3 linked regions of the Coturnix japonica genome follow. The protein of the gene in region 2 purifies or fractionates together with the protein of the main gene of each other region. This does not show direct contact. Links are inferred from orthologs where the notes say so. Each region holds a gene or a part of one and is shown on either strand. Other genes may lie near its edges.

Region 1 (4,443 bases), on a different chromosome or scaffold from region 2:
TGTTAACCACCAACCCAACATAGCAGCAATAAATGGCATGGAAAAACAAGGGGCTTAACCCACCCCTACTTCGAAGAGCTTGGTAATGACTGCTAATTGCTCTTCCTCATTCAAAGCTACTTGGCCTACATGGAGCTACAGCAACTACACACACTGAAGCTCTACAGAGAAAGAGAAATAACCTTAAACAGTACTAAGGAAGGTTCAGGTTGGATATTAGGAACAATTTCTTTTCAGAAACAGTGGTGACACATTAACACAGGCTGCCCAGGAAGGTGGTGGAATCACCATGCTTGGAGAACCATGATGCTGTGGGACTGATGGACATAGTCAGTGGGCATGGGGGGAACGGGTTGGGGTTGGACTTGTGGAAGGGGTCTTTTCCAGTCTGAATGATTTTATGATAAAATGAGAAATGGTGGTAGAATAAAGATATTCTTCTCATTACCTGTTATCTTGTCAGTGATGCCACCACTGCACAGCTGAACGTCCTCTAGCTGCGCCTTAACCCACCACAGGATCCTGCAGAAGCAGCTCTGACATTGCTCTCACCTTGAAGCTACTCTTAAGAGAGGCAGTGACTCCTCTCCAACCACTGCTTACCTTCTTAATTCTCCTATTAACCGAGTCAACATATTCCTGCGATAAACATTCACACCCTGTACAGTATTCATTGTGAGTTACAGCACACTATTACAAAGTGTTTCCATCACAAGCAACACTCACAACTCAGGCACTACTTCTAGCTTCTTAGGAAAACCTTTTCCAAGCCCTGTAAACGCCAACAATATCTTCTCTGTTGCTATAGATTTCATACTGAAAGTGCTTAAGTCACCCAATAACCAGCAGCAAAACAAAACTCTCAAACAATAATAAAAGGAAATCCTCAAGGAGGAACTCACGTGGATAACAAGCAGCAGCACAGCTCCCCACCTTCCAAGCACTAAAGGGCCTCTCAAAGGTCTGAACAGAGATGGAAGAGCCAAGTACCAGCAGCTGGCTTAAAGAACTCAGATGGGAGCCTGACACAGATCAGCTGAGACACCCTTGATTAAAGCCGGCCATGCTTTATTGCTTCAGGACCTAATTTCTAGTTGCTGTCACCTGTGTTGAATTTGCTTCAGATCAATATTCAGTGGCCTGAACCTGATGGGCAAGAAGGCACTATGAGGATCTGAGCTGGAGGAAACCCTTAAATGTGCCTTAAGAAACATGTTTCCTTCATGCTGCGTTGGTGTGGTTATGTTAGAAGGGTGCCGACTTCGCACTGTGCATACAACTGTATTTCACTTTAAAAGTTTATCTTCTCAATTGAGAGGCTGCACACACCGTTACATCAATCACGTATTGCTGTAGCTCTCATCACCTCCAAGGCCGCCTCCGCACACAAAGAGCAGCACGGCCCGGCCCTCTGCCCTTAGCGGCTGCCGGGGCCCAGCGCGGGGCAGGAACTTCGGCCTCCGGCACAGCTCCGCCCCGAGCTCAGACGCCGGGTCCGTCCCGCACACCGACAGCTGCGGGGCGGAGCGAAGCGCCGCTCGCTGTGGGGCCGGAGGCGGCCGGCCTGGCCTCATTGCGCCGGGGCGGGCACAGCTCCCCGGCCGCCGAGCGCGGTGCCGCCGGGCCCTACGTGCGCGATCCCGGCGGGGCGGAGTGAGAGGAGGAGCCGGGGCGGCCTGTGCGACAAAGCCCAGTGCGCAGAAAGCTGGTGACCAGGAAGCGGAACGGCACCGGGCTGCCGCGGGGCGGGGGGCGGGCGGACCCCACCTGAGCCCCGCTGCCCCAGCGCTCCCGGGCGGGAGCCGAGCCCTGCGGCCCCACGGCTCGGGGCCAAGTGCGGCCGGCGCTGCGGGGCGGCCGTGCTGCCGCTAAGCCGCTTAGGGCCGGGCTGGCATGAGCCTCCCCGGCGGGGCGGCTGCGGGCTGCGCGCTGCGGGGCGGCTGAGGGTGCGGAGCCGTCCGTCGTAAGGAGGGGGAGAAAGCGGAGGGGACGCCCCTGCTCCCCGGGGGGAAGGAAAATGGGGAACTGCCTCAAGTCCCCCACATCAGATGACATCTCGCTGCTCCACGAGTCCCAGTCGGACCGGGCCAGCTACGGGGACGGGGCTGAGCCGGATCAGGAGCCGCCGCCGCCATATCAGGTACGGGAGGGGGCGGGGAGCGGCGCGGCGGAGCCGGTGGGGACGGGGACGGACGGAGAGGGGCACGGGACGGGGGGGCGGGTTGAAGCCCCGAGGACCCCCCGGGGCGCTGCACAGCGTCCGTCCCCGCGGGCACCGAACGGCGGGTCCCGGCCGTGAAGTGAGGAGCGCCGCTTTGTTCCCCGGGGGGTCGCCGAGCTGTCGCGGGGCCGCACGGACCGTTCGGGACACGAAGCCGGAGACGGCGGAGGGGGGTCGGGGCCCGCCCAGGGGTCGGAGCCGCCTCGATCGTGTCTGGATTTGGGCTGAAAGCAGGAGGGGAAGGCGTCGAGTTTCCAGCCGTGCCGCTTCCTTTGTTGTCGTCGCGCGGTGACATCACTGTCTGTGCCGCTCTCGGTGCTCCCCGCACCGGAGGCCGCGCGCTCGGCGCTGCCCGGCTTTGTCTGCGGCGCTTCGGCAGCAGCTGAACCGGAGTAACTTCGTGCTGCGGGGTGAGCCCGTTTCTTTCAGCTCCGTGCGGTTCCAGGAAGGGCCGTTCGCTCTCCTGCCTGGAGAGGATGTGTACATTGACGGCTGATGACGAGCTGGGGAAGAACGCCGGGTGCTCCGTCACGTCCTCACAGCTGTGGGGTCCCGGCACAGCTCTGTGCTGTGATGGCCACCAAAAGGACCCAGGGCTGCATTTATCCCCTGCTTCATCTCCATCTCCTAAGGAAGGATTGTACGTGGCTCTGAGCAGGACACGAGCCCTGTCTGAAGGGATCTGTAACAGTGACAGGTACAGATGAGTCCTGCGCTCCTTAGGGTGGGGAGTCACGCAGGAGTTGCAGACCTTAACGTATTATTAACAAGGCTGCAGGAAGTATTTAGCAGGGCAGATATTAACCTGTGATACTCGACGAACACCGGCTGTGACAGGAGGTCCCTGGGTTGCTCCATGGGCACAGCAACCCTTGGTGGAACCATGCTGGGACCACTGGGCCCTGCAGAGCTGCTCGCTTTATGTGACTGCTTCATGACAGAACAAATTCCCTAAGATGGGTTGGGTTTTTTTCCCTGACTTTTTAGTAAAGTCTGCACAAGTCCATTAAATAAAGATGTGTGGTGTCAGGTTTTTTTGACAGGCGATGTTCTGAGCCAATCCTGCTTGTCCCTCCTGTTTGGGAACGCAATGAAAATTGTCCCTTGGAAAAAAACCTGTCGGCTCTTGCAGGAGTTGAGAAATTGCACTGTGCAGGCCTTCTCCTGTCGACTTCAGAGCACAGCAGACAGTAAAATAAGCAAACTCGCAGACATTTGTTACTGTGTGCATTCATAGCAAAACTCCCCCAAACCCCACGCGCTGATCCCAGCAGATCTCAAACACTCACTGTAAGGGGCATCTTGTGTTGCATAGTCAACATTCAAAGATACTCGCTCCACAAATAAAGAAACACAGTGCTTTGTGATGACAAAAGACCTTCACCTTCATACTTTGCAGTATTCCACACGCTTTGAGGTTGAGGGGGGTTGTAACTTCAAATTGTTTTGGGGTGAAAAGGTGTGCAAGCCGAGCGCTGAACCTGGGGAACTCCTGGAGCTCCATTATTGCTGTAGTGGCAGCAGGATGTTGTGATCTTATCCTCTTCCTTGCCTGCCTTCCTCCGCAGGTCTGCATGTTCTCTTACACACTTTAATTCTCATTCAAACATTGTAGAAAGTATCACCTATAAGGACAAGAATCCCACATGCCCATTTCTAACACTGAATCTGAGCTATGATCTGGAATTTAAAATAAGGCCAAGAGTTTAAAAACTTGTTTGTGGCACCTACTGCTGCGCACGAGGAGCTGTGGACGATTAACAACTTAAAACTGAGCTGCTGGAGCCTCAGCCATAAAATGGCTGCATTTGGGTTTGCTTCCTTTGGGTTTGCAGCAACGATGTGCAAACTTCCTGAGCCGCTCTCTCAAGGTGTGCTAACAAGCAGAGCGAAGGAAGCTTGCTGGGGTAGGTGCAGCGTTGTAGACAGGACTTGTGTGTCTCTTTGAGCTAAAGTCTGTGCTATCTTGATACTCAAAACATTTTCTGTGTCTTGGCACGCTTGTTTTGTGGGTGTCCATATGGGAATCGAGTTAAGCAATAATTTTTTAAGGTGTTCACTTCTAACTGCAAAATAGGCACCTAATAATCTCTTCACTGTTGCATGCCAAACTCCTTTTCATCACTGAGTGCTACTGAATCTGCTGTATAAAATTCCTGCTTCTAAAAGTTGAACTGAAAATTGGATTGTCAGTACAGACACATGGAATAATGAGGAATATC
Region 2 (3,646 bases):
TCACAGAATGGCTTGGGTTGTAAGGCACTCCAAGGATCATCAACTTCCAACTCCCATGCAACAGGCATGGGTTAACAATCACTAGATCAAGTACTAGATCAGACTGCCCAGGGACCCATGTAACTTGGCCTTTTTAACACCTCCAGGGACAAGGCTTCCACAACCTCTCTAGGCAACCTGTTCCAGCACCTCACCATTATCAGTAAAAAACTTACCCCCGATATTGAATACAAATCTCTTTTCCTTCAGTTTAAAACCATTTCTTATTGTCCCATCACTATCTACCCATGTAAAAAGTTATTTCCCTCATATTTATAAACTCCCTTTAAATATTAGAAGGCCAGCTGCAATGAGGTCTCCTCGCAGCCTCCTCCTTTCCAGGCTGAACAAACCCAGTTCCTTCAGCCTGTCTTCATAGGAGACATGCTCCAGACTCCAGATCATCTTCGTGGCCTTCCTCTGGACCCTCTCCAAAAGCTACACATCTTTCCTATGCTGAGGGCCCTACATTTGGATGCATTACTCCAGATGAGGCCTTGTGAGAGCAGAATAAAAGGGGACCTGCTGGCCACCCCTCTTCTGATGGAAGTCAGGATACCATCAGCCTTCTGGGCTGCAAGTATATTCTAAATCATTCTAAAAATAGGCTGCAGTATGGCCTACTGCTTGACACTCCTTAAAACTGAAATAGTAAGAAAAAGCACCAGTGTAACAGCCCATTTTCTCCAGAAAAAGTCAACATTCCATTTGACTGCACTACATTCTCATTTCCCCTCTGAGGATTACTCTACCATGCATGAAGGCATGAAAAAGGCATGAGGCCTTATTTTGTTTGTTTACTTTTAAGCTAATCTATAATTCTCATGGGAGAGTGAACTAGTAGAACTGGACAAAATAAACACCTAAAGCATTACCCAGCCATATGATTTCCTGTTGCTTGTTTTGTTTTGATTTTGTAGAAGTACACTCTTAAATCATCTCACTTATTAGCTACGGTAATCTCACAGCAAACATAACAATTGTGTCATGCAGGTATCAACTACCATTTCACAATTTCATTTTGTTAAGTGTAACACAAGAGAGTAACACAGAGTAATACAAGACATATATTTACATTTAACTCAGCTGCAGTCAAAAATGTCTGTGGTTATTTCAATACTTAAAGTCAAGTTAAGTTTTTATGATCTGAAAGCAGCAAGTCTTCTAGAATTCTGAGACAAACCGAAGTTATAACTGCACTTATTACAACCATCTTGAACACTAAAAATGATTCACATTTAGGTTACTGCTTGAGCTATTTTAAGTCATTAGAAGGTATTCAGGAAGTGGAGCAGTTAGTGCCATTCAAACCTTGAAACCATCTACACTAGGCACTATTATATCAGTCTCTTTTTCTTACAGAATTTAAAATGAAAATAAACAATTTCAAGACAGAAAAGTTTGATTATTAATGACTTTAAATACTTGAATTAAATTCTCATTCTCTTCTACAAATGAGGTAGATTTCTCAGTTAACAGGCATTTATATGGTGCCTATGAACAAAAATCACTACAAAAATAGACAGTATTTAATTCTAGCAAATAATTTGCTTCTCCACATCTTGCTGCTAAATGGCACTGTGGTTCCCTCTATCACTAGAAGGAAGGAAAAAGATGTTCTAGCAAGACTCCATTAGAGATACCTGACTCAGTGATACAAGGAGAAATGATGTAACATCTCTGCTTAGCTTACAGCTTTAGGAGAAACATGATAGCAGTGATTCGGGATGCTATAAACTCCCCTGAAAGCTTCTGCTTTTCCATGTATGCAACCTCTGAACCTTAATTTAAACACACATTTGGATACAATGTACTCTGCAATATGTTTTTAACTCATTTTTTCTAACACATCAAGATGTACTAAGTCTAACTGAGGAACCTGCTTACAAAAATTAGTCACATTTTTCAGAGTGTGAGTATTCAGATAACAAAGCAACTGTTTACATGAAGTACACACATCAAATTCACAAAATTAAAATGTTACTTTGAATTTCCTATTTCAGAAACGATTGTATAAATACAAGAAACAATAAAACTTTAAAACTCTAACCTACCATGGCAATAAAACGCCCGATGAAACAGAAATATGAAAGATGGTCAGGATTGATTGTTGATGCTGGATTTATCTGTAGGCAATAGTTGCTCTTGCCAGCATATTCAAACAGGCAGTACATAGGGTTCAGTACTTCATGGGAAAGCAAGAAAAACCATTCTCTATGGAAAAAAAAAAGAACACATATACATAAAAACTATCAAATACACATGGACACATCTTTATCATCATTCCCTTTAAGCATCTGATGAAATGGTCAAAATATATGCAAACTTGGAAAAATAATATAAACAGAGTTGTATTACAACCATATAAAAATATAAAACTTTACACACTTTTTAGATATAAAAACAATCGATCCATAAAAAACAGAATGCTACAAAGTCTCCATTTCCAGCATTTAGAAATGATTGTTCTCACCCTGAACACACTCTCACAGCTTAGGTTTTAGCTGCCCATTAGTTGCACGGAATCCACCCTCACCATGCCTGCTTTACTGCATATTGACTCAAATCTCTATTTAGAAAGTTCTGAACAATCCAGGTAAAATCCAACATCATCTTATTTCCATTCCCAGTCTGTCAGCAAAACAAACACCGAGTTACAGCAATTTAACAAATTACCGTGCATTAGTTAAGCTAACAGGACACAACGATGTGAAAATACTTTTTTGTTGAGGCTTAATACATTTTATTCCCTGGTTTCATAGATCCCAACTCAGCTGACCTGAAATTATAATAGAATCTGGCATTTCTGTATCAAGGTATCTGATGTTTAAAATATTTGTCACTTTTAGCATTTTTATAAGGCTTATAACCAGTAACCTCAAATGCAGACATATATACTCTAGGATTTTAATACCAGACCCTAAGCACTTTAAACTGAAAACCAAGGGCTATGGAAAAGCTGCAAAAGGAGAAAGGTCTATCCTGTAACAATTGAAGGAACAGAATTCTATTCTGACCATCTTTCAGCTGTCACATTTCTACGGTGTCTTTTCTATCCCTGTATTTACCTGAAATTGGGGAATAAAAATGAGAGGTTTGCAGATGTGTTTCTCCAAACAGTTCAATGAAATCTAAGTCATGGATCACGCCTTGATAAACTATACTTCTAACTGAGAGGCTATTTAGAAAGAATAAACAGAGAAAGGCAGCCAGGATACCACAGCCCTAATTAGGTTCTGTGCATCTTTTAATAAGCACGAGAATGTTGTATGCCATTCTATGCAAGTTTTGTACTGAGACAACATTAACTCTGTATAGCAGTATCAAATTTAATAAACTTTTAGATTATATCACAGCCAGATAACAAGAAAAGAAACAATGACATTAGTCATCAGCAAGACATTTGTAGAAGCAGCATCTTTTTCATGCTAACAGCTAGAACTAGCTGCAGGATAAAGCATTCAGATTGGTCCTGCCAAACAAGGTAAAAATCTGGAGGGGACACACGCAGAGTTTAGCCTGCTAAGAGACAGGATGATTAATCAGGTGCAGTGGCTTTCAATACTTGTGTTAACACAGTATTGCATGAGCAAGTCAGTATGTGAGC
Region 3 (4,106 bases), on a different chromosome or scaffold from region 2:
TCATTGAAGACATACGCGTCAAGTAATTTGCTAGCAAAAAAAAACAACCTAGGGACTCCTAAACCACTTCATCTTGCATCAACACTCGCATTTACTGAAAATCATTTTTCTTTTACAGAGGATATAAAGACAGCTCAACAGTGAAGAACACTGATCTAAAAATTATTTGAAGCTTCCAGAACAGAAAAGACTTAACAGAGCAATAAAGAAGGTCAGAGTTTAACCCAACATCACAGTTAATTTCTTTATGAGCAACACTCTGCATTTTGACGTTTTTAGAGCCTGTGAATTTAATCAAGTCCCTGCTTAGGGCAGTAACTACTTGCCTGTGTGAACAAACACTGCAGCATCATCACCTGCTTTGCCCCGTGTGTTTTGATTTGGTTTTGTTAGGGCAGCTAAGGCAAAGATACTATCCAGATTTTAAGTAATTACTTTTCCTAACAATTAATACCTTGTCTTCTTTTACAGTGACAAGTGAAATGCAAAAGTAACAGCTGTATTTCTGCTTAAGAGTGAGCAATAGTAAAGTACCACTCTATATGCTCGCTGCACTGTCAACAGAACTGTTCTCACTAAAGCAAAATCTTTGTTAACTCGAAATAAAAGACGTGTCAGGAAACTGAGATGTCAGCAGGTCCAGTGCATACAAGGCAGCACTGCATGGCCATGTGTGACGGAGATACAAAAACAGGCTTAGCAGCTCAGAAGAGTGGGAGCATTGTTAACTCATCTCTGATTGTCTGAAACATCCCAAATTTGTGCTGCGTGTACAGCAGTCAGAGCCAAACTATTCATTTGTGGGACAATGCACTTAGGAACAGAGGAAGGGATTCACAGTTGATTTTAATACAGGAAAACTAAAAGTCAGTTTATAACCAAGTGTATAAATTTAATAAATAAAAATGAATTAAAATCAATACAAAATAATGGTGGGTATACTGAAGTAAATAAACCAGCTGGGTTGCTCCCTCAGAATACAAGAGGAAACATTTCCTGAAGTCAAAGTAGTTTCTTGATCATATGCAAGGAATATCAGTCGTCATTATCTTTTTCAGTGTATGATTTTAATACAGTATTTAAATGCCCAGTATGTTGTAATCTATTTCTGTACATTGTTATTTCCTATGTTTTAAAGCTAGGATAAATGGCCAAGTGCATACTGTTAAATACAAGAGCTCCAAAATTGAGCCTTTGGATCTGGATGGCCAGATATTTTCTTAGTGCTCAGTAAGACTCACAGGAACTTGTCTTTGAGAAAGCTGATTCAAAAGAGAGCTAAGAAAAGAGCTGATGAACACGGTAGATAATCACAGATCAAACCAGCACTTGACTCATTCCTCAGCCCCCTTCCAACATCATTACAGATATACTGTCTGGTGCCAAGTGACTTGGCCAAGGGATGCTAGAGGGCAGTGGGGCAATGTGGGCCAGCTTACAATATCAGATTCCATTTGATATTGTAAGCTGGCACCTCAGCTTTCTGGCTGACCACCCTTCTTCTAATGCAGCAAACTCCATTAAAATAATAAAAAAGTTTAAAAATGCAGTTTGGTTGTGGTTCTAACTGTGAAAACGTAAACAAGACGCCTAATGCTTATTAAGGGGATTAAATATCCTGACCGACAGAGGTAGAATATGCCATCCAGCTCCCTGTATTTGTAGGTGCGGCTATGGGAGAACAAAACCAACCCCTTAATCCAGAGATCTTCCGATATGTCACCTGTTTATCTGTCAGCTGCTGATTTCAAAGATGAAGACAGTGAAGGAGAACTACAACACAGACAGAACTATTTAAGCCTTAATCTTAATAAAAAGCAATTAAGGCATCAGTAACTTTTGAGAACATACTGATCCAGCGCAACTGTTACAAAGGATTCAGTTGAACATAGCAGATACTAGCTGATCAACTTCATCTCTTTTATTTTCCCCCCCTTGTAGCTTATTTAAATTAGCCTCTTCAGAGTAGCGCTTAAATTTTTCATTAAGTGGTGGCCTACAGCTGATATTTAAGCACTGAGGGCTGGGTAATACGAAAGCCAGCGATCTGACCCGACACGGTCATTCCTACCCTCCTCTCAGCTCTGCTGTCTCAAGCCTATTTTCTCCTCATAAACCAACTTTCTTCCTGACGCCGTGCATAGTGTGAGCTCCCATCACAGGGTGTCAGGGCAGAGCTGTCAGCTCTCAAGTGCCAACCCAGCACATCTCCGGAACGGAAAGTGAGCACACGGCGGGGCAGCTGGCGGCCCGGACTGCGTACAAAGGCACCATCACTATCTCGTGTTCTCCGGGAAAGGGAAACGATTCCAATAAGGTCCGCAGTTACGCAAGACTGTTATTTAACGCTTTTAATTACGAGCAGGCCTACCAGCCCCCCGCCATCACCAACAGGTTTCTCACCAGCAGATAAAAACAACACAAGGCCACCCCGATCCGAACCTCTCAAAGCAGGCGGCACACACGGAGCAGGGAATTCTACCTCAACTTCCGTACCGAGCCGCTTACAGGATACCTGCTTCTCAGCGACACTTTAACCCGGAATGATCCGGCCCCGTCGCTCCCTTTAAGCAGCACCAGCCGGTACCCGACCCGGCTCAGCCCGCAGCACCACCACAACCAGCCCCGGGCTCAACCCGGGGGGCAGCCCCGCCTCCCCACGGCCGCCCTCCCACCGCTCGCAGCCGAACGAGCCGCCTCACCTCAGCCCACCGGGCCGGCTACAGCCGAGCCTCTCCGAAAGGACCCGGCCCCCAGTCGCGCTTACCGAGGCAGTTAACAGCCGGACAACCCCACCGCGGCCTGTAGTCGGGCGGCGGCAGCCGCTCCGCCCTCGGCTCGGGGCGGGGCCTTGCCCGGGCTGTGCCCCAAGTCCATGCCCCGCCGCAGGACGGCCCCGCCTGGGCTGTCCATGGGACCTGCGTGGGGGCGAGGCTGTGTGCCTGAAAGAGGCTGTTCTCTGTGAAAGGGACGTAGTGTGCTTGCTGCATCTCCACGACACCAAAAATATCACGGCTGATGTTTGAATCAATGGGAGGTGTGCTCCTTGAGAGCAGCTCGGCAGAAAAAGACCTAGGGGTCCTGATAGATGAGAAACTTAACATGAGCCAGCAGTGTGCTCTGGCAGCCCGGAAAGCAAATGGGATCCTGGGCCTCATCAGGAGAGGGTGGTCAGCAGGGATAGGGAGGTGATCGTCCCTCTCTGCTTTTTTTGAGCCCCCATCTGGAGTACTGTAGTCCAGGTGTGGAGCCTCAGTACAAAAGACATGGAGATTTTGGAAAGGGTCCAGAGGAGGGCCACGAAGATGATTCAGGGGGCTGGAGCACCTCCCGATGAGGACAGGCTGAGAGAGTTGGGCTTGTTCAGCCTAGAGAAGAAGAAAGGTTGCGGGGTGACCTCATTGCAGCTCTTCAATACCTGAAGGGAACTTACTCCCAGGAGGGAGTAAACTCTTCGAAAGGTCTGACAATAGTAGGACTAGGGGAAACGGTTTTAAGTTAAAGAGGGAAGATTTAGATTGGATGTTATGGGGAAGTTCTTCAGTAGAGAGTGGTTCGCCCTGGAACAGGCTGCACAGGGAGGTGTGGATGCCCCGTCCTTGGAGGTGTTCAAGACCAGGTTGGACGGGCCCTGGGCAACCTGATCTAGTAAATGTGTATGTTTGGTGGCCCTGCCAGGCAGGGGGGTTGGAACTACATGATCCTTGAGGTCCCTTCCAACCGGGTCATTCTGTGATTCTGTGATTCTGTGAATATAATCCGGCAGCTCGTTGTTTATGTGTCACTGACCATCATGTTAAAAGTTTTGTGCAGCTGGACTTTTCCACACTGAAGATTTCAGGCCTAGTTGAACCTAGTACAGGTGCTCTCCTGGTGGGCAGCAATGAGCCAGCAGTGTGCCCTTATGGCCAAGAAGGCCAAGGAGAACCTAAGGTGCATCATACGTGGCGTGGCTTACAGATCGAGGGAGGTGATCCTCCGCTCTGCCCTGCCCTTGTAAGGCCACATCTGGAGTGCTGTGTGCAGTTCTGGGCTCCTCAGTTCAGAAAAGATAGGGGTCTTCTGGAGACAGTCCAGCAGAGGGCCCAAAGGTGATGAGGGGCCTG

The links. Proteins that work in one complex are often made in the same cells at the same time.
Region 1: the proteins of WWP1 (region 2) and RNF11 purify together in Homo sapiens (affinity purification with mass spectrometry; 3 studies listed by BioGRID, with this or other methods). This does not show direct contact. The link is inferred for Coturnix japonica from reciprocal best matches to the Homo sapiens genes WWP1 and RNF11.
Region 3: the proteins of WWP1 (region 2) and SPART purify together in Homo sapiens (affinity purification with mass spectrometry; 5 studies listed by BioGRID and IntAct, counting the BioPlex papers as one, with this or other methods). This does not show direct contact. The link is inferred for Coturnix japonica from reciprocal best matches to the Homo sapiens genes WWP1 and SPART.

Annotation. Positions count from the first base shown.
Region 1 is NC_029523.1:21,407,769-21,412,211, forward strand, and holds the start of RNF11 (RING finger protein 11), read left to right. Parts: upstream 1-1,551; 5' UTR 1,552-2,017; coding exon 2,018-2,140; intron 2,141-4,443. UniProt on the Homo sapiens protein: Essential component of a ubiquitin-editing protein complex, comprising also TNFAIP3, ITCH and TAX1BP1, that ensures the transient nature of inflammatory signaling pathways. Promotes the association of TNFAIP3 to RIPK1 after TNF stimulation.
Region 2 is NC_029517.1:111,484,416-111,488,061, reverse strand, and holds part of WWP1 (NEDD4-like E3 ubiquitin-protein ligase WWP1), read right to left. Parts: intron 2,254-3,646; coding exon 2,094-2,253; intron 1-2,093. UniProt on the Homo sapiens protein: E3 ubiquitin-protein ligase which accepts ubiquitin from an E2 ubiquitin-conjugating enzyme in the form of a thioester and then directly transfers the ubiquitin to targeted substrates.
Region 3 is NC_029516.1:154,378,391-154,382,496, reverse strand, and holds the start of SPART (spartin), read right to left. Parts: upstream 2,893-4,106; 5' UTR 2,768-2,892; intron 1-2,767. UniProt on the Homo sapiens protein: Lipophagy receptor that plays an important role in lipid droplet (LD) turnover in motor neurons.